Linked DNA regions of Drosophila melanogaster. The protein of the gene in region 2 interacts with the protein of the main gene of each other region in a pairwise test. Each region holds a gene or a part of one and is shown on either strand. Other genes may lie near its edges. The genes, in order: PolH, ND-39, CG10927 and Tsp42Ej.

The links.
Region 1: the proteins of ND-39 (region 2) and PolH interact in a two-hybrid assay, tested with the Drosophila melanogaster proteins (one large-scale study listed by BioGRID).
Region 3: the proteins of ND-39 (region 2) and CG10927 interact in a two-hybrid assay, tested with the Drosophila melanogaster proteins (one large-scale study listed by BioGRID).
Region 4: the proteins of ND-39 (region 2) and Tsp42Ej interact in a two-hybrid assay, tested with the Drosophila melanogaster proteins (one large-scale study listed by BioGRID).

The regions. Positions count from the first base shown.
Region 1 is NT_037436.4:21,938,094-21,943,789, reverse strand, and holds PolH (DNA polymerase eta), read left to right. Parts: upstream 1-1,977; 5' UTR 1,978-2,020; coding exon 2,021-2,452; intron 2,453-2,506; coding exon 2,507-3,003; intron 3,004-3,061; coding exon 3,062-4,790; 3' UTR 4,791-5,156; downstream 5,157-5,696. Other genes in the region: CG14562 (uncharacterized protein), read right to left, coding at 1-44; SLC22A family member, read right to left, coding at 5,273-5,470, 5,536-5,696. UniProt on the Drosophila melanogaster protein: DNA polymerase specifically involved in the DNA repair by translesion synthesis (TLS). Plays an important role in translesion synthesis, where the normal high-fidelity DNA polymerases cannot proceed and DNA synthesis stalls.
Region 2 is NT_037436.4:20,490,377-20,497,611, reverse strand, and holds ND-39 (NADH dehydrogenase (ubiquinone) 39 kDa subunit), read right to left. Parts: upstream 5,531-7,235; 5' UTR 5,398-5,530; intron 4,371-5,397; exon of another isoform or gene 4,122-4,370; intron 2,950-4,121; exon of another isoform or gene 2,691-2,949; intron 2,266-2,690; exon of another isoform or gene 2,261-2,265; 5' UTR 2,133-2,260; coding exon 2,093-2,132; intron 1,988-2,092; coding exon 1,537-1,987; intron 1,455-1,536; coding exon 1,089-1,454; intron 1,021-1,088; coding exon 627-1,020; 3' UTR 528-626; downstream 1-527.
Region 3 is NT_033778.4:18,611,471-18,614,773, reverse strand, and holds CG10927 (uncharacterized protein), read right to left. Parts: upstream 1,685-3,303; 5' UTR 1,648-1,684; coding exon 565-1,647; 3' UTR 534-564; downstream 1-533. Other genes in the region: mRpS28 (mitochondrial ribosomal protein S28), read left to right, coding at 1-109, 171-292, 350-533; CG42697 (uncharacterized protein), read left to right, coding at 2,079-2,291, 2,348-2,483, 2,696-2,766.
Region 4 is NT_033778.4:7,038,571-7,043,286, reverse strand, and holds Tsp42Ej (tetraspanin 42Ej), read right to left. Parts: upstream 3,152-4,716; 5' UTR 2,810-3,151; coding exon 2,744-2,809; intron 1,719-2,743; coding exon 1,557-1,718; intron 1,503-1,556; coding exon 1,140-1,502; intron 708-1,139; coding exon 615-707; 3' UTR 525-614; downstream 1-524. Other genes in the region: Tsp42Ek (tetraspanin 42Ek), read right to left, coding at 196-255.

The DNA.
Region 1 (5,696 bases), 1.4 Mb from region 2:
GTCTGCTGCCTGGCAAAGTTGTAGGCCTGCAGGATCTTCACCATGGTGGCTCTCTACAAAAAAGACGATGAATTCTTTTTTTACGGCACTCTAGAATTACAAACTAAGCCCTCAGCTTAGTGGAGTGACTTCATCGCCGGACGTACACAGACTGATGGCCTCACCGTGAATCAGCCACTAGAGCAGGGAGTTCTCTGACTGAGCGTGGGACAGAGAAAGGGAGAAGTCCGAGTGACAGTGGATTGGCGGACCGCTTAGCGGGGCTCAAGTGGTTCTTATTTGGGCATGTGAACCATTAGCATAATTGTGCGCTTATACTGGGGTTAGGGATCGGAAGAGTGGATGTGCCGATGAGGCCTAAGGCTAGCGCATATGGGCAAGCTAGGCTAGGATAGGGCAGTTAAAAAGTGAAGCACTTAAATTTAATAAGAGTTAGCCGCAGAATATTTCGGGATTGTAGATAAAGTCGCGATCAAAATTAAATCTTTAATCGGTAAAAATTTTGTTAATCTACGATATATGTATGTATACTATCTGGAGTCACAAAAAGTAGGGAAGCAAATAAAACTGTGATAAATACATTTTAAATTGAAAATCCAAAAATATCACTCGCAGTACACCTTTTTCATTCACCATCCGTCTTTCAGAATCATAGATATGCAATCGAACTTTTGAACACCTTTTTTAAAAGAGAGAGTGGTACATTTGGTAAAACAAGAACCCGTCCCAACGTCGTGCGGCATCAAGTATTCCAATAGGTCAGTGCTGCACCTTTACTTCAGGTGGAAGTCCTGCGTTGTTGTATTGTACGCTTTGACCATAGAGTAAACAGACAGGAAATTAGGTCACGATAGTATACAAAAACACGCCCTTCCTGATTTCCGCCGCCCACCACCACCGGCATTCTATGAGGCGATTAAAGTGGGCCCGGTATCCCAACCCCGATTCCGAGTAGCTATACGTGAGTTAGCCCAATTAAGCCATTGGACATTCGCTGGACATACCACTCGGCGCATCAATCAAAACAGCCGGCCAGGAGGCGGACACGGAAGTGGCATAGCCGGAAATAGACAAGGATTGAGATTTATTTCTGGTCGCTCGGTCAAATCAATAATTCCCGCGTAATCCGTGCGTTAACCCAAATGAACTTGGGAAATGGAGAAGCCAGAACATGCAAATGTGTGTTACGGCGGGGAATGGGGTCACTAAGAGATGTGTGTGCGTTTTCAGTTGCATTTTGGCAGCGGCTTATATGGAAAAATCAATATCTAAGCATTTTGTTAGAAGGTGCCGCTGGAAACTTGGCAAATAATTTACTCTTTGGCAATGTCTTACGTTTAAACTCGTTTTATTATTCCATACAGAAAAACAGAAGACAGGGTTTAAGGATTTCTGAAATGCATTCTTCTTCGGCGTAGATGTTCCGACAATATATGTTACTTATTATTAGGTGGTAGTTATGCCACGTAAATATAACTCCCAGGACTCCCCGGACTGCACATAATATTTACTCGCGTTTGTTTATATTATTTCCGAGTGAGAAACGACAAACTATAAAATATCCAATATAGTGTGACCAGGTTTTGCTCTAATGCGAAGTACGGATTGGGTAGAGATAAGTATTTTTCAAACTACGCTAGACTACAAAGCATCGATACAAGGGTACGTTATTTAATACTCTCTAATTTTGAATTTCTAAATAGCTTAGTAATAAGAGAGTCTTTAAAAGTATAAAGCTCCACTACTATCGAAAATATGTTTTCAACAAAATTCTTTACTTTTACTTTAAGGAATATCTAACTAAGAAATGATTTATATCGAAGATATAACACAACTGCTTTGATATGTGTTAAAGAGCATATTTTTATTATTATTATTCCGAATTCTTTTATCAGATTTAAATATGGGAAACACTTTAATGTATTCAGTATTCAAAAATGCATCGGTATTTTAAGAAGTCCCCGCCACGGCCACACTCCTGGCGCGCAGTGAAATTCGCGCAATAATACGAAATGAAATCATGTCCAGCGCACGCAGCCATGTCAGCATGCAGAACAAGTACGACCGCGTGGTCCTGCTGGTGGACATGGACTGCTTCTTTTGCCAGGTGGAGGAGAAGCAGCATCCGGAATACCGCAACCGCCCGCTGGCCGTCGTCCAGTACAATCCCTGGCGAGGTGGCGGCATCATAGCAGTGAACTACGCCGCTCGTGCCAAGGGAGTCACTCGCCACATGCGCGGCGACGAGGCGAAGGACCTGTGTCCGGAGATCGTGCTCTGCCAGGTGCCGAATATCCGGGAGAAGGCCGATACTAGCAAGTACCGCGATGCCGGCAAGGAGGTGGCCAACGTGCTGCAGCGATTTACGCAGCTCCTGGAGCGCGCTTCCGTGGATGAGGCGTACTTGGACATAACGGAGACCGTTAACCATCGCATGCAGCAGATGCAGAGTGTAAGCTCTGGCACATAATTTTAAAGCGTTTTATTATTATTTTCCTCGTTGCAGGGAGCCTTTGCATTGCAACCGCAGGAACTGGTGAACACCTTTGCTGTGGGCTATCCCAGCATTGGCGACTACGTCAACAAGATAACAAATCGCTTCGCCAATCCCTACATGGACGACGAACGCTACCAGATGTCCTACGACCAAAACGACCTTCCCGCCGTCCGACAAAGCGACATTCGGCTTCTTATTGGAGCCTCTGTGGCAGGTGAAGTCCGCGCGGCTGTAAAAAAAGAGACAGGCTACGAGTGCTCGGCTGGCATAGCGCACAATAAGATCCTGGCCAAGTTGGCAGCTGGAATGAACAAGCCCAACAAGCAGACTATTTTGCCGTTGACGGAGACCGCCAGCCTCTTCGACTCCTTGCCTGTTGGCAAGATCAAGGGGCTGGGTGGCAAATTCGGTGAGGTGGTGTGTGAGACATTAGGCATAAAGTTCATGGGCCAGGTGGTCAAGTTTTCGGAGGTAGATCTGCAGCGCAAGTTTGACGAGAAGAATGGGTGGGTCCCTTAAGAGGAGTAGACCACGTTCAAAGTAACTTATTTCCTCTTATTCCAGAACCTGGCTATTTAACATCTCTCGCGGCATAGACCTGGAAGCCGTGACTCCCCGCTTCTATTCGAAAAGCATTGGCTGCTGTAAAAAGTTTCCGGGTCGAAATAACATTACGGGGTTGAAAACCCTTCAACATTGGCTTGGTGAGCTTTCCTCCGAGATCAACGACCGCCTTGAGAAGGACTTCATCGAGAACAATCGCAGGGCCAAACATATGGTGGTGCAATATGTGCAGGACATTGACGGCGAGGAGGTGGCCAGCTCCCGCTCGACTGCTCTCAGAGATTACGACCAGGAGTCCATCGTAAGGCTTTCTCTAGACCTAATCAAGGCAAACACTAAAACGTTTCTGCGTCCTGGTAGCGAGTCTGCTTTAAACAATGCTATCAAGTTCCTTGGCATTAGTGTTGGCAAGTTCGAAACCGTCTCTAGTGGGCAAAACAAGCTGCAGGAGATGTTTGCTAACCAGGCTGCCAAGAAACGAAGGGTAAGTGGAGATGAGCCAGGGCAACTGCCTAAAGTTGAAATGGAGAAAAAGCAGAAGCAAACGGACGAATTTAAGATGAAGAGCTTCTTTGCAAACTATTTGCAAGGAGCTAAAAAAGAGGATGCGAAAGCAGACGGCATTTCTGCGAATCCCTTGGCTGCTGCAGCAGGTGCTCCAAACAAGAATTTCGTAGAGGAATACAAACATAAGCTTCATGCGGCCGTAAGGACTGAAGGAACTGTTCTCACATCAACACCAGCGGAGTTCAAGGAAAGCTTTTTTTCACAGTACCTAAAACAACAAAAAAAGACAGGACAGCAAGGGTCGGTTACATCGAGGGAGGACTCCTTAGATGTGCAGGAGCTGGCCGAGGAATTGGACGCCATTGAGGCTGACAATTCGAAAGATTTTGAAGAAGACACTGAAGAGGAGACGGAGTTAACTAGTGATACCCACATGTCTAAGCCTGAAGGACAGTCATCCGATGCCGGACAAGAACAGGATCCAAACACCTTGAATGATTCAACAGGGAATGACTTATACGTTGAAACTGGTATTGTGCCTCCCACGCTTACTGAAGACGAATTGAAGCCTTCAACATCAAAAAGAAAGTTCGATGAGATCGAAAGTTCTGTAAGTAATTACAAGGAGTGTTACGTAGAGTTTGCAGTACCCAACCTTCGCACCGATATCTTGCCTACTATCAAATGCGATCAGTGCGGAGCAAACATTCCCGACGAAGTTAAGTCCCTACAAACACATAGAGACCATCACTTCGCCCAGGAACTAAGCCGAACGCTAAGAAGCACCGAGCGGGAAGAGAGGACGCAGAGCCGACAGAAGATATCTCTTAAGCCGACGCCACCCAAAAAGAGCAAGAAGACGGCTGGTTCTGGTAGCAGTTCCTACAGTACGGCACCACCGAGTAACAGCATAACCAAGTTCTTCCGCGCCAAACCAACTCAGGAGCAAGCGCCCAGTGATCCACAGATGAATCAGTGCCCCGAGTGTAAGGCTTTCATCAAGTGTGTAGACATGCCGGAACACTTAGACTACCACGTAGCCAGAAACCTTCAACGTGAACTAAACCAGCAGGATCTGCGAACTCGAACCGCAGCTCTGAATAAAGAAAAAATATCTCCAGTTCAGCCAAAGAAACAATCTCAGAAGAAACTGAACTCAACCATTTCTGCATCTTCAAGCGGAACAAAGACAATTGCCCAGTTTTTCAGCCAAAGCAATTAGAGAAACCCTTACACCGCTCCAAGTATTTGAACCTGTATAAGTACCTACGAATGGACCACAGACAAATTTACTTCACTTTAAGATTAAAACATTTTCACATTCAATTCCAAATTAAAAAACAATAATAATTTTTTGCTAGCACATATCCTAGTTATTAAAATCTCAATCTGGCTCTGGACAGCAAATTGATTAGGATTGTTTATTTCTTTTTTTTACTGCTGTTTATTATTTTTTTTTTCAAATCGAGTAATGAAACTCTTAGATTTAATTTTTTTTGTTTTATTTTTCCAATTTTAGGCTTAAGTATTAATGTTGATCATTACCATTACCATCCATCCGTTAATTAATAAAACACAACGCTCTGTCAATGCTAAATATTTTATATGTATAGTATGGTTTGTTCTTAGCGTTATAACACATTTGAAGAGAAATGTATTTGTCTTTGTATTTGCAGGCTGCCTTAAAATAAGATTACGTTAGAACTACTGCGCTTGAGTGGCCGTGACGACTAGATCAAGATCCTTGCTCTTCGATTGCTTCTTGACGCCTATGGCGTCCGCTTCCTGCACTGTTGTAGGTAAAACTACGTTGGTGGTCTCTGGAAAGAACAGCGTGAGCAGGCCGCTCACGATGGCGGCGCCGGCGAAGAGCATGGCAGGAGCATTGGCATAATACTTGGCCTGTGGAGAAAGGGAAAGGAAGCACTTAGATATAACAGGAGATCCTTGTAGCTTTGAGCACCCACCAGAAGAGGCGTCTGCGGGGCCAGCATGGAACCAAACCTGCCCATCATGGAGCAGAAGCTAAGCAGACTGTTTCTCAGATTCGTGGGATAGATCTCTGAGGCGAAGAAATAGAGCACCTGGAAGCTGGCAGTGATGGTCAGTTTGCCAACAAGAAATAGCA
Region 2 (7,235 bases):
ATTATCACACTCACTCTCACTCACACGCACAAAAACGCGAAAAGAGAGGCGGGCGCGCGCTTGTGTTGTTGTTGATATATTCTTTTTTCACCGCTTAACCAAGCTGAAAAGTTGAAAATCTTTACACACACCAAAAACACACACACACACAGACTCAGAAAACTTGGGAAATCGAATTTTCCGTACTATGATTTTCCGGCCATAAATCTGCACGGGCGTAAGTTTCGGAGGAAACTGCTGCAGAAAAGCTCCTGGTCGCAAAGGAAGAAAAATCGGACGGGCGAAGCGTTGCCAGACGATGACAGCGATTTCATTTGTTTTGATTTAGTTGCCGGAGCGATGTCACCTCAATAAGATACCGAAAAATACCAAAGGTATTTCGAGCTGCCAATCTTTTTTCCGACATCAAACTTTTCTAGCCATTTGACTTTTTTTTCAAAAGTATTTATAAATTTTTTTATATTTAAATGCACGAAATAAATACATATATCAATGTCTATATAATATTTGGAAATATAAGTTTCCTTCGTTGTCATTGGGTCTTTCGACTTCTCTTTATTGACGCATCGCCTTAAACAATTCCAACTAAAAATTTCCAATCAACACAGACAGCTACTTCGCTCCGCTTAGGCAAACAGACGCAGTTCATCGCGCGCCTCGATGCACTTGGGCGGCGAGGGAGTCTCGAACTCGCCCAGCTCGGCGTCGTAGTAGAGGGCGGCGCGGTAGGGACGCAGCTCCCATGGCACCTGCTGCTCCATTGTGGTCAGCGTGACGCCCAAATCCTCAAGCGTGGGGACACCAGTCAGAACCTTGTCGGTGACAGCCTCGCGTTCGATGCGAGCGGGATGCAGACCGCCAATCGGGGTGCCGGGGCAGATGAAGCTGTTCAGCTTGGCTTTCAGCAGGAAGGTGGGGTCCCAGCGCATGTCGTAGCGCATGTAGCCCCAGCGCTTCTGGTCCTTGCGCATCAGGCGGTGGAACCAGTCGACCAGCTCGCTCAACTGATAGCGTTTAGGTCTGCAGAGAATAAAGGAAATTAAGAAAATGTACATGGTACAAATACTTGGACTCGGAGATTGACTTACCCCACAGCCTGGTAGATGCGGCCAGCGCTGTCCGGATCCTTGGCGGCGTTGATGATGGCCTGGGCCACGTCCGAAACGTAGACGGGCTGCTTGACGGTCTTCTCTCCCTTGTGCCACAGCGGCATCGAGCGGAACTGACGGCGCCAGATGTGGGCGTAGTAGCGCAAGAAGCGATCCTCGGATCCGTAGATATCCGCAGGGCGGATGATCGTGGCGTTGGGAAAGGCGTCGCGTACGCGAAGCTCACCCTCGTACTTGCTTTTCAGCCACTCGCTGCCGCCCTTGACGTACAGATCCTTGGGATTGGCCTCCACGTTCAAAGAGGACAGGTGGATTAAGCGCTCCACGCCAGCCTCGCGCGCAATCCTGAAGAAATAAAAGTGGTTTACGTCATGCAAAGTTAGAATGAAGAAGTGGGCAGGCAAATAATGCTGGCTATGATGTTCACCTAGCGATCCTCTCCGCTCCGTTGACATGGACATCCTTGAACTTGAAGTTCTTGGTCTCGAAGTCCCTGCCCACCAGGTTGATGACCACGTTCGAGTGCTTGACTGCGTCACGAATGGAGGCGGGATCCTCCAGGTTGTAGAAGTGAAAGAGTACCTGGCCAAGATCACCGGTGACCTTAAGACGGATAACATCCGAATCGTCACCGCGATAGGGCAGGATCATCTGGGTGCCAGATTTGCCCAGTTTGTTGCAGACATAGCGGCCCACGAAACCGGTGGCACCGAAAACGGTCGCCACGATCCCATTGAAACTGCTACGTCCGCCAGTTCCGCGCTTCATGGCAGCCGGATTGGTGGTCTTCAGTGGACGTGGACCATCTTCCGGCGGCGCAGCAGCGGCGGAATATCCACGCAGGCACAAAACTCCAACCACGCCACTGCCGTGGTGCTCTAAGTATCCGGAATTGGACAGAGAATGAGCCAAAAGTTAGCCACAAACATCGTATTACATAATTGGATTGCCTGGCGGTTTTCGACCGCAGGCACGGTACTCACTGGCCAGCTGGAGATTACGGGTTAGTACTATGGCGGCCATTTCGCACCGGCACACTGGACCAACTCGATTCGGTTAATTTACGCTTAAAATCCTATTTTATTTCGGAACAGGCCAGTTTTTTATTTTGCCCCACGACAGTGTGACCGTGGCGTAGCAATTGGAATATACTAGAATTGACAGGTTGATATCAAAAACTACCGTCAAACAAAGCTGCCAGACTGAAGAAAAACATTTGATTTGGAAAGTAACAGTTTTTTCTATAGTTTTTAAAAAGCCCTGTTAACCTAAAGTTAACCCTAAATATGTAAATAATTGACCTCATAACCAATAGACCGTGTTCGTGGCCATTGCATACCAAACATATTTTAATTATCTGATTATCAAATATCGGTAAATGCTACTACGGTTATAACTACTATGATCTCGAATTATTCATACTATTTAGGTGGCACTAATAATTTTACCTCATAATTACTTTGACAACCTTGGGGATATCTTAGCCTCTTAGCGGTAATTAAACCGTCATATAAACCACTCTTCTTGCTTGGCACTAGTTTATAAATATTTGTTGGCAAATAAGACATAAGCTAACCGTGTCCCAGTTGAAAAGTAACTGCCTTGCTTGTCACACCGCAAACTTTTTATCTAATGTGCGTGGCTTAATTGCAATTTCCAGCCCGCGGATCGTTTAATTCGGCACGGCTTGGGTTCTACGGACAAAGAATTCAGTTAGCAGTCGCCTTCGAGCTGTAAAACCGAGAGCATCGGGAAAACTTAGTGTTATCTGTTCGAAATCGGCCAACTAAGGATTAACTATTTCTACGGACCAAAAACACCGATAAGCAGTGAAATAAAAGTGAGCTTGTGGTGAAACTGTTCATAATGGATACACATTTTTGCGGTTATAAAGTGCGGACCACTAGCTAATTTGGTTTGAATGTAACAGCTTGGGTAAACTAATTAGTACCGAGGGTATATAAGTTAGTAATTTGTTTTTAGATTGGTTAAGATAATGGGATTTCAGGCGAATGCGACTGTCATGAATAACCTCCTTCGATACAAAAATATTTCTGGTATTGTAACATTACATTATACACATGCAGTGGGTCAGGATATACAAAAAATTATAAACATTTGTCAGTGTGTCAAACGCGTTCTTATACATATATATGTACGTATTTGTGTATAAAGAGTAAATTTCGTGTCAGATATTTCTATTGAATCACCCTGTCTAAAAATAAATAATAAAACACATTGTTTATATTATTGTTATAATAAAACACATTGTTTTTTGTTTGTTGACTTCAGTTGTGCGTTTGATAAGTTAAATATCTGCACAGATCACTGCTTTTGACAATTGAGGATGTAATTCTATAGAGATTACCATAGCTTCATATGTAAATATGTATTTATAATATTTATTATGGCATTGTTGTTGTCTCATAAACCTACCTAGATAACGACAATACAAACATACCTACATTTGACAGGCATAAACAAGCAACATATGTATAAATTTCACTCTCCTTTTTCTGCTCTCATTTCGCTCTCTTTAATAGCTCACATGCAATCAGCTGATTTTTTTTCAACCTGCTCACGCACTTTTTCGCCCACACAAATACTATCACTGTTGCTTTCTACCTCTCTCTTCCTTATCTCTGCTCCCCACCCTTTAAATTTGCGGGCTTTTCGTTTGTTTTGCCGGCCGTGGTTATTGGTGTTGTTGTTGCTCCTATTCGACCATCTCTCTTTGCCTTTAATACCCTTACGAAGAGTAACTCAAAAGTAAATAAATAAATAAATTAACTACTCTTGGAACATATCCGTTCTAGTGAAAAAATTAAAATTAATTTTAATTCAATTATGAATGCTCAGAATTATAATGAGGAAATCTTCTTGTTTTTGTAGAACATAGCTTTACTAGTATTATAACATTTCGAATTTCAATTAAAAGAGTACTTATAGTTCGGCATGGTGCTTCGGGTTTTCCGTTTATTTTGCCATATGTATATTTCTCGTCGTCTTTTGCGATCATTCGTGTTTGAGCCGCGCTGCAGTTAACAACGATCTGAATGATTCGCTCCCGAAAAAATTAGCGCGTGTGCCTCGAAATATTTTAAATCGCTAACGTGCGTGTGTGTGAATAATAATAATAATAATAATAACAATAAAATAGGAAAAGCTACATTTTCCAAAGCAATTTACGCTGCCGCGGTTATAATTAGAAAACGTAAAGCGAACGCAGGCCTTTTTTCGCTTATCAGAGTCCAAAAGACGGTAATTCTCCAGTTCTTAGCCACAGTATTAGGGGTCTAGACTGATAAGGGCTTTTCGGCCGTATGCGAAATTCGGCTTTGTATCTGGGCCCAGGAATCGGAAAAATACGCCCTAATGCGCGCAGTTTTGGATACTCGCAGATTGTATATAGATGACTGATTCGTTAGCGGGCAGATTGTAGATCCATTTAGCAAGTGATTATTAAGACGCCTCGCGCCTCTTGGCACCGATGTGAAAAAATATTGCCCGAAATATGTATTACTTCTGCGGTGTATAAAAATAAGTTCGATCGAAATTAATGCTAATTAACGGTTATATCTGTCTACGATCCACCTGCCAGTCGCATCGAGATTAAGCTAAAAACAAATTCTCACCCTTAGCTAATTCAATGGAAATTAATCCCGGGCCTTGGCTCAAGTTCTGAAGAACCCAGCTCGGCCGTGTTTCCAGTTCCAAAATATTATAAACAATTACTCTATGAAATAATAAACAAACTAATTTGTTTGCGATTGAGTTAATAATGCATTTTTGGTTGCACGGTTATATTAGCCAACTCAAATTATTAATCTAAAGAGTAGCGTGAGATCCAAAAATTTTACATTTATATTAAAAGAAAAATTATTATATTTTAATCTCTTACATAGAAAGCTATTATTGTATTTATTACTTCTATCACTGCAACCGCATTGTATGTTTATAAATTTAATTCAATTAGATTTGTCGTTTTGTAATTTCGAGTCATTAAGTGTAATTGAAGTGGGTCTTTAGTAATCAGCATTAATATCAAACTTCGTATTATTTTAATGGGTTTTTGTAAATCATCAAAAAATCTCTCGGACCCCAACTGATCACGTTTTCGATGAGGATGCAGGGAAAGCATACATATGTACATATATAGATATATACTTATGTATATAGGTGCAGATTGCACGTAGATGGTGGTGCATAAAATCGTAATTAAAATATTTACACTTCTTTGTTTATTATAATGGGAATATTTCATTGAATCGTGTGCTTCATCACTTACTATGTACAGGTGGTCAGGGTTGTGAATTCGCGAAAAAAAACGTGGATTGGGTTTCACTTTTATGATTATGGGCTAAAAAGCAGTAAGATACAAGCTGGATTTTTATAGAACACACAATTAGTACGGAAAATTTAGCCGAGTGCAATGCAATTTAACTTATAGCCTACTACTTACTAATATGGAATAACTTAAAATCTGCATACTTACTTTCGCCTAGTTGTTCCATCTTTATTAACTCTTATCTTACATCTTATATTTATAATGTACCTATGATTTTAAGGCTGTATTACCTAAATAAGTCATATTTACATCCCATATTATAAGAGAGCCCCCCTAAAAATATTAATTTCCACTTGGCAACATTTACCGGTGGCAACATCAACATTCCCCATCGAATCAATCCCTCGACTAGTGATGGCATTTTAACCCACTGAAAGCCGAGTTGTTTTCGATATTGTTTTCCAAATCGCTCTTATCAGTCAGACCTGTCCACTTACCACTTAATCACCTGGGGTGAGATAGCGATAGGGTCGGTAGACAACTATCTCTATCTGCTTATCAGGAGTCCGATTTTGGCGCGTTCGAAATGTTCAAATGCGCCTCATGGGCAACAAAGTAATAAAATATTGGCAGCACACGTTGTCTGTGGCCCACTGATAGACAATAACAATATTGATAGAATTTTTAAATAACACCGTTCCCTTGCGAATTAGAAATTCCAAAGGCATCGGCAACCTTGTCATCGTGTCCGAAATGGTCAAAATTGTTAGATTTTAGCTGCTGGTTGTTTTGAAAACAGGCCAGGGACCCGTATAGGAAGTATTTTTGTAATTCAGTTTAAAATCTACGCAAAAACCAATAGGCAACAAATGCTGTTTGTTGCCAAACTTCATTTGTATGCAGGCAATGGTCCGAAAGAAGCAAAAAATTAAACAAGCAAACAGAATTAATGCACCTGAAACCTGATGATGGCAAATCAAAACAAAAAGCAAATGTTATTGGTCCCGAATTTTACTGCACGCTTCACTTTTTGTTTATTTTTTCAATTAATGGAGTGAGCTGTTGCATTGGTCTAATTGGCAATTGAGCTGTCAACTCTTGGCTCAGATTTACGATCTGGACTTTACGCCATCTGAGAAGGTCCGGATTCGAGGGTAATCAAATAATTATGACAAAAGGGGTGAAAAAACATTCCATAAAAACCTTAAAATTTTGCAATTGAATTCTCGAAAGTAAAAAGATTTCTCGCAATACTAATCTGTGAGCAATTTCATTTTTGTAAAATAGTTGTTTAACTATACATAGCATCTATAAAATAACCAGATACCTGTTACTCAGATGTCGGGATGCATGCCTTGTCTCAACTTTTTACAAATATCTTTAAAAAAATATGTACGGTCAGACGGACGGACGGACATTCAATTGAACATTGGACTTATTCGCAATTAAATAGCTAGTTAACATACAAACTAAAAGAAATTTATATATAAATTTAATTACACGTTATAAGTTGTTCATTTTACTTGCCGATTGCTTCTGTTTTCACTTCAATAAATATTTCGAGTGATGTTAAATCAAAGGTTTAGCGGCGATATCAATAACAATACCGATATGTTGCATATTAATTTTCTTTATTTAAACAGTTTACCACCAGTAAGCATTAAATTTGAAAAAAAAAAATTCGCTAAATATACAAATCCAATAAATACGAGCAATTACTTTATTCAATCTAGCGTGATATGCCAACTTTTTCTTTTTTTTTTAATCGGTTTCGAAAACAAGTGTACATTAAATCTTTTACCCCAAAAAATGGCATTAAGTCTGTTGACCTTGCATTA
Region 3 (3,303 bases), on a different chromosome or scaffold from region 2:
AGGATTCGCCCGTGCCTTCGACAAGTACACGGCACCAGCCACGCCTCCACAGCTGCCGGAAGACAACCAGACCTTCGCCTCCCTGCTGCGCAACTCCAAATTAATTGATGTGGGTACATTATTTAAGTAATCCCATTGTTTATGTAATAACTTGTTGATTTCTGGAGCAGCTGGACAACGCCGAGGGCAAGGTGGTCAGTGGCAAGATCTTTCATGTGGTGGGCGATGATCTCTACATAGACTTTGGTTGGAAGTTTCACTGCGTCTGCAGTCGTCCAACACGCAATGCCAGGTGAGTTCAATATAATTTCCTGTCTCTTTATCCAATAAACCGCCTTTCCTACTTCAGCGACTATGTGCGAGGAGCCCGTGTTCGACTGCGCATCAAGGACTTGGAGTTGTCCACCAAGTTTCTGGGTTCGTCCAAGGATATTACCATTCTAGAGGCAGATTGCCATTTGCTGGGTCTCCTGTCCACGCCCACCCGCCAGTCGACGGCCAAAACAACGCCGAAAATCGAAGATATCCTATAAATCCTTTATTAAAACCAAGGTTTGTTAAACGTTACGTCAAGTCTTCATCCTCCTTGGTTGTGAACTGGAACACTTCGTAGTGATGGTTGAGTTCCCGCACCGAATGCAGTTGGAATCTCGTGGCTAGAGCTCCGTTTTCAGAGTTCTTAACGAAAAATACTCTTTTCGCCCTGCTATGTACCAGGGCCATGGAGCACATAAGGCAGGGTTCCTGCAGCAGATAGATATCGTAGCCGGTGCACAGATAGGGTCCGAATTTGGCCAGGTTATCTGCTCCTTGAACTGCGTCCACTTCTTTGCATTCTCTCGACTTTTCCGCTCCGAATGTCAGGTCTTTGTAGTCTTCATTGTTCATCAGGTAATCGTAGTAGGCTTTAGGAATACCCCGCAGAGTGGTATCCTTCTTGAAATCTTCGGTGAATGTAACCTCCGTTTTTGTGGCGCCTCCTTCTTGACTGCGAGCCACAAAATCGACGAGCATCATGCAGCAGTGCTCGTGCGGCCTACAAACTTCACCAGTTCCAGCAATGGACACAATGCTGGGTTGTCGCGGATCCACGCAGATGCCCACCGGACGATTGGCATTGACATCCCGCGAGAGCCTCACAAGCAATTGCCCGATCCTTTTGTGAAATGTGCGTTGTGCGGAGCTAAAGTTGCTGCCATTCCTCAGTGACTCCGAGTAGTGATTAGGGTGAAACTTGCAGGGCCAGTGCTTAAGGGTCTTCTCGTACTGCACCCGCAGTCGGGGCATCCGTTCCGGCACCTCCACCACCCGGACTCCCTGGCACAAAGCACGGAGCACGTGCTCCGAAAAGGCAAACTGTTCAAGGTGTTGTTCCAGGCTTTGAGACACTCCGATCTCTGAGCTGGGACATATGAGCACGCTGCGATCCTGGACGCGCTTTAGGTGTTGAAAGTGGGGCAATTTCTGTGAGAGCTCCTGGATGACCGCCTGGAGCTGCTGTTTCGTCTCCAACTCGCAACTGTGCGCCTTGATGAGCGCAATATCCTCGTCGAACTCATCGGAGAGGATGGCCCGGATCCCAGTTATGTCTTCATCCAGATTGGGTGATTTTCGAGCACGTTTGTTTGGTGGCGCGGATATATCCATTATTTACTTAATTCTTCAATTAGAAGAATGCCAATTGGAATCGATTGAAATAGGTTATCGATAAGTGCCAAGCGCTGGCGTTGAAACAGCTGTTTGGATATTAAGCGCCAACTTTGAAAAATGTCTTCTATTTAAAATATGCATTTAAAAATAATTTAGTGAAAGATTATACGTTTAAAAGTCTTTAAAGCTATTTAGCTTGGGAGCTGTTTCAAATATTTCCTACTTTTGATATACATTCCCTAATACTTAATCTAATCAGCTCAATAATCTGATCAATTGTCTAATTTGCATTATAATTCCTTACAACCAATATCTTTTTTGATGTCTACATGTAAGCAGTGCCCAGTCTGATACCCAAAGTTTAAATTCAAAATTCCAGTGAAATATGTGCTTGTGATTTCTAGTCAAAACTTAGAGGAAACATCGAAATGTGTCTGCGCTTGTTTTGCGGCTATTTGTCGCTTTACATTGGCTGCATCTTCATCGGCTTCACGGGGATGCTTCTAGCTTTAATGGTCTTTTCTGTGGGTCTATTCGAGATGATCAAGGGCAATCCGGAAACAGTGCTTGTGGTCATGGCAATGGTCTTTGGCATTGTCCAAGCCCTAGCTAAAATTCTTCTTCTCCTCGGAACGATGTGGGTAAGTGAATACTTTTATCCTTAAATTTGTAAAGATATCCAATCGCTGTTCTACAGGACATGTGCTGGGCCATGCTCTTGTCCTTTTTTATAGGTATTGCGGCCCTGGGGCTCCTCATCGCACTTGTGGTGCTCTTCTACATCCTCTTGTGGGACCCTCTGCACCTCCTTCTGGGCGGTTTTCTTAGCATACGTAAGTTGGTGAAAAAATTTTGAATTTCTTTTGGATCTGAAAACAAAAGAAGATAGAGAAGTAGATTAATACATTAACTATCGAGAACTTCTTTCTATAACACACACACAACATATAACACAAACAAGCAACAAAACGTAGTGGACTTAAAAAGTACATAAATTCTATTCACGTTCGATTTTTAATTAAAATAATATTTTTCTCTTATCCAGTCGAGATGTACTACGAATGGGTCATCATTTCAACCTGGTGGTGCTGTCGATCATGCACCCACGACTGCTAGGAGTTGCAGTTGGTTCCACTTGTTGCATGCATAGAAGATACAAACATACCATGTTGGAGATCGAACGCCTTGGAATGAGCATACTATGCAACTCTCAGCGATCTTCGCATCGGATGTAATACTGTGAGCACCGAGAGAGAGAGAGAGAACTTGTATTCGAATCCCCCCATTATTTGTGTATGAGGTGACTTCGTGCTCGGGTCTTCCGACTTGAGTGTCTTTCAAGTAAGTCAGTTCACTCTGAGACGCGCGCTGGATATGTCGTTCCTGGAGCGCTCGAGCTGTTCCTGCGAATGAGCGTGTGTGTGCCAGTGTACCGCCCCCTACCCGTCAAGAAAAAAAAAAGGAAATAAAAATATCGGCAGGAAAAATATCAAAAATTATATCTGAAAATACACAAGTGTATCTGCAAGTGCAGTCGTATATGTGAGACGAGAGTGTTTTCCATTTGCCGCAATTAGAAGTAACGGTGCGAAGGTGATTTGCACGGGAGAAACTGGAAAATCAGCGAAGCGCGAGATACTTGTATCTGCAATT
Region 4 (4,716 bases), on a different chromosome or scaffold from region 2:
TTTACTGGCCAAACAAATTTTCGATTCCATGAAAACGGAATGCGTACTTGCTTGTCGATTTGCAGAAAAATGTATTCATTTAAATTCCTGTGGGAACACAGATGGCTAATTTACATTTGTAATACATTCTTATAGCACAGAATTACCAATTTTTATTCATATGCATGTGAATATATGCATATGTTAAGAACTCACCGCGTTCAGAGTATTAAGAGTGTTAAGGAAACACTTAACGCAACCGGAAGTGCAGCCCATCCTAGTGCTACGATTAAGCTGTTTTTGTAAAATTCCAAACTAATTCCTCTTGAATAATTAGTAATAGAGAGTAATCTTTGTTGTATGATCGAACCTGCCAGATCGGAGTTCCGATAGACAATGAATTTCAGATGCAAATATTTGCCGGCAGCACGTAAAATCCCAAAATCACGATCTGCGCTCTTCAATGTTCTTTTGTTTTTCAGATCTTCGCAGCCGAATGATGCCGAATTCAATGAGAGAGAGATATAACTGCGGGGAACTCGTTTAGGCTATGGAAAGTATTTATTTTCTAATGGCATTTTAGCTAATTTGGTTAATTTTTATTATCAATAATCATGCAGGGGTATCCTCGGCCATCAGTCGTTGATGGGGGTCTCCTCGTCCTTTATCTTGGTTTTGGCATACTTGCGAGCCTTGCCCAAATGGTAAGCGGTGAACAAGCCCAAAAACTGAAAAATACATAAATTGTAATAATATAATATTGATATGGAATCGAAATCGAATAGACAAGCGAACTTTGTTAAAAAAATATTTTACTGTCTTAACGTCCTTACTACTTTATAACTTTATAACATCAAGCAAAAGCTCAACAACTGTGTACATAAATAGTAACGATCGCACCTTTGACATATTTAGTTTAAAGAAAACTTTAGTAACAAAAATGGTTTGAATGAAAAAACACACATCTTATCTTGGCAGGGATTTCTATTTAAGCGTGACGAATAAAAAAGTAGTTAAAATGTGTTCACTGAGTCAGTTGTGTGCGTTAATTCAAAAGTTATTGGATAACTCTTCCATAAGCGACGTGCCGAAACATACCCTTGTGCTCAAGTACCCTTGTGGCAAGTGAATTTTACCCTGCGTATGGTTTAATGTCTCACCTCGAGGGCAATGATCGCCATGCAGCTGTAGTAGTTGAGCTCCGCCTGCATTCTCAGAGTAGCTACCGCCTTGGTGGAGCATCCCTCCTCGTAGACGTGCGCCGGCTTGGAGCAGTCGAAGGCGTAGCAGCAGCTGCTGGGCAGGGCGCCGTGCTCCTCCTGAAGGTAGTCCTGCGGTCCCTCAATGCCGCAGCAGCCGAAGAGGCTGTGCACTGGCTGCATCTTGTCGTCGCTGTGGGTCTTTCGCTCGAAGAGGTCGCGCATGCGCTCCTCGAACCTGCCCATCAGCTGCTCCCGCATCGCCGTGAAGGTGAAGAGGTAGGAGCCCAGGGCGGCTATAACCAGGCCACTGCAAATTAGGTACTGAATGCAAAGAGGTTAGTCTGTGACTTGCAGTTGTGAACGCAGTTTACTCACGTATATGGAATACTTGTACGACACCTTCAAGGCCACGTACATGCCCAGGAAGGCGACTCCGAAAACTGCTCCTCCGCAAAGTGCCGACCCATAGCTGCCGTAGACGGAGACGGCCGAACCCCAGGTGGTCACGCCACAGGAGAAGAAGAACACGTTGCACGTCTGAACGAAAGGGAAACAAAATAGTTAGTTAAGTCCTTAGTACTAAGGAAAATTATGGACTAAATTACTTCCTAATCTATTTCTTCTTGAACGAACATCTTTCTCGCAGAGTTAGAAACTAAAACTAAAAGTGTGGCCCCAATAACTTAATAAATTACTTGCCAAGGTTGTGCGTATGAACTTCAGGAACTAGCTATATGGAATGCATTATTATTTAACACCTACCGATAAGGCGTAATAGTTTTAGGGTTTATTATTTTTAATAGGTGAAAGTTACTTATTAAATCGTTGATCAGCCAGCTTCAAAGTCTAAATATACATTTTGTACTGACCTAATAATATTTTAATGCCGCGACAAGCACTTTAAATAATAAATTGCACGTGTAGTGCTGGGGTGCCAAATAAATAAATACAAGCACGATTCATTAGCGTCTACAGCGTCATTTTTTCAACTTACATTTGGCAGTCAGACATTACCAGCTATCCATCAACTAGTTTTCTAAACTATGGTAAAATGAGCATTAGGCATTTGGCATTTGTACTTGCTAAGCACCAAAATGAAAATCTATGAGACTATAGCATGCAAATGCAAGAACATTTTATGCTTTCATGCTTAATCAATCTCTGACATTTGTAAACAGTGTCCCATGTGCATAATTGTATAAGAATAAATTATATAATATAATAGTGAATTTAATTGGCGTAAGCCACCCAGAATTGCGGGCCATTTATAGATATTGCAAAAATTACAAACAGCTGGCCGGCGGAATTATGTAAGTATGTGAACAGGTATTATGCATTTATAAATATTTTTTGAGATTGCATCGATTTGTTTATAGTCTTTAGCGGCTCATTGTCACCAATTTTTGCTCTCTTGCGAAAGATGTGAACTTGGGCGCAATATTGATTTTTCGATTTTGGCTCATTGCTCGCATCACCGGGTGTTGTGCAAGATTCCCATTTGGGTCAGGCTCGGGAAAATGGGAAAGCTCTGGAATGGGGAAATGCGCATCTTTTTCACTTACCACAATGAGAATGCAGGTGACCAGTAGGCCGTACTTCCAGGGTGTTATGGGAAACGACTTCTCCATGTTGCCACAATGTCGCACGTGAGTTTCCTTGGCAGTTATGCTTGTGAACCAAAGTATCTGGCTGCCGATAGAATGGAAGATATGACCTCCGAGTTCCGGAAACTCGCTCGATTCGCACTATGCCACTGGCTTAGGGCAGGGCATTGTTTACTTGCGCCCAGAGTAGGTCTACACCCACATTAAACTGGGCTCGGAGCTCTGAGCCCTATTTCGGATTGGAACTCGTGGTGTTGATGCCACAAAAGCTGCCCTGCGACTGAGCGAAAAAATGAGAGACCCAAGGGCCCCTCTCGAATCTGAACTTTTTGGTCTGGCGCGTTCTGCGTTCGCTGGCAAACTGAAAGCGGGAAAAGTTTTGTTTTTCTCTCTTCCCGTGAGGACTGTTGTTCCCCAATCAAAATAAACCACACAGAGCGCACTCGCTCTCTCAAAAGAGAGCGTTGCACTTGGGTCAGAGCTCCAAGTCATGTCGACTGGCGTTTCCACACGGTGGTGTTTTCGAATTCTTATCGGGTCTGTCATGAGCGTACATATGTGAACTGCTGAATGATTGAATGGATTCGAGCTTAAGCAATTAGGAAAATATTAATGTATCCAGAGGTTTTTAGCACCGATGAAGCTATTAAACAACACAACCAAGGTTTAATTCTTTTTTCTTTCTTTTACGAGAGTGATGATGATGGTGACAGTTTTGTGGAAGATTGCCTAGAATGCTGTGAATACCAGCAACGATTCACCGAGTTGCTATGCATTCTAGCGCTCCTTTAGCGGCTTTGATCTCCAGCTCCATTTTGATGGTGTTTATCAGGTGCACATTGGTGGCTCGATCCTTTCCTTCTCGGTGGCGGATGTCAGACTTGCCGGTGCCAATGTGCACATTCAAGGCGTCGTTTCTGATTAAATTCTTGGTGCACAGATAACAAGGATAGGCCACCTCGCCAATGACCTCGATCTGGATGATTGAATTATTGGCCTCACTCAGGGACTTTTGCAGCGTGTCAATCTCCTCCAGGGCCGCCGTATGCGCCTGAGGCTGGCATACTGAGACATCACAAAGGACTTGACAATGTCACTGTCCAGAATGTGTCCAGTGAAGCCTCCGAAAGGTGGGCACTAGCTCGAAGTTTTGCTCCCTGAGAATCCTCTCCGTTTCATGGGATCCTGCCAGAAATGCCGTTGTGAAGTAAGTGATAACTATTATTTTTATAATTTTCCATACCCATAAGCCTCCAATCCAGTGGACCATCAGGATACTATCTATTGAATATTTGCCCTTAAATCCCATTTCTCTGAAAATAAATCAGCCACTTCTTCTTCGCCTTTTTTTTTTTTTTGGTTTGGGTATTGACCGATATTTCTTTTTGTGTATCGATATTGGGTCGAAAAACAAGGCATATCGATATATTATTATCTAATTATCAAGCCGCCAACGCCAAAATGTCTGCTACGTTAAACTTAGAAGACGCTACAAAAAATCAACCAACAGTGCGAGGTTGCAATTGCAACGCTAAAAGGAAGGAGTTTTTTCCTCCAATTTAAAAAAAGAGTCTGGCGGCTGAACACATCAGAATCACTTTGAGCAGACTCCTGAGCTTTTTAAGGGATAAACACATGCTTTTGGCAATTATTGTCGACGACGAAAGCATGAACATCCCCAGCCGCACGCTGCGTGTCCACTGCTCTATGACATGGAGCACTGTCTGGCAAACTTTCGGAGATACTGTGAAGGCCACTGGACTAACCCCAGGAATGGGCCAACTGTGTGTACGTGGAGGAACAATGCGGAAATTTAAAGCGGAGATGATAATGATTCGCAACTGGAGACTCTTCAGTGTAAGCGGAGAAGATTTCTTCTTAAGCTTATTGAAAGTGAAACAACTTAAAGACTTCGAGTTTCGATGCAGTGT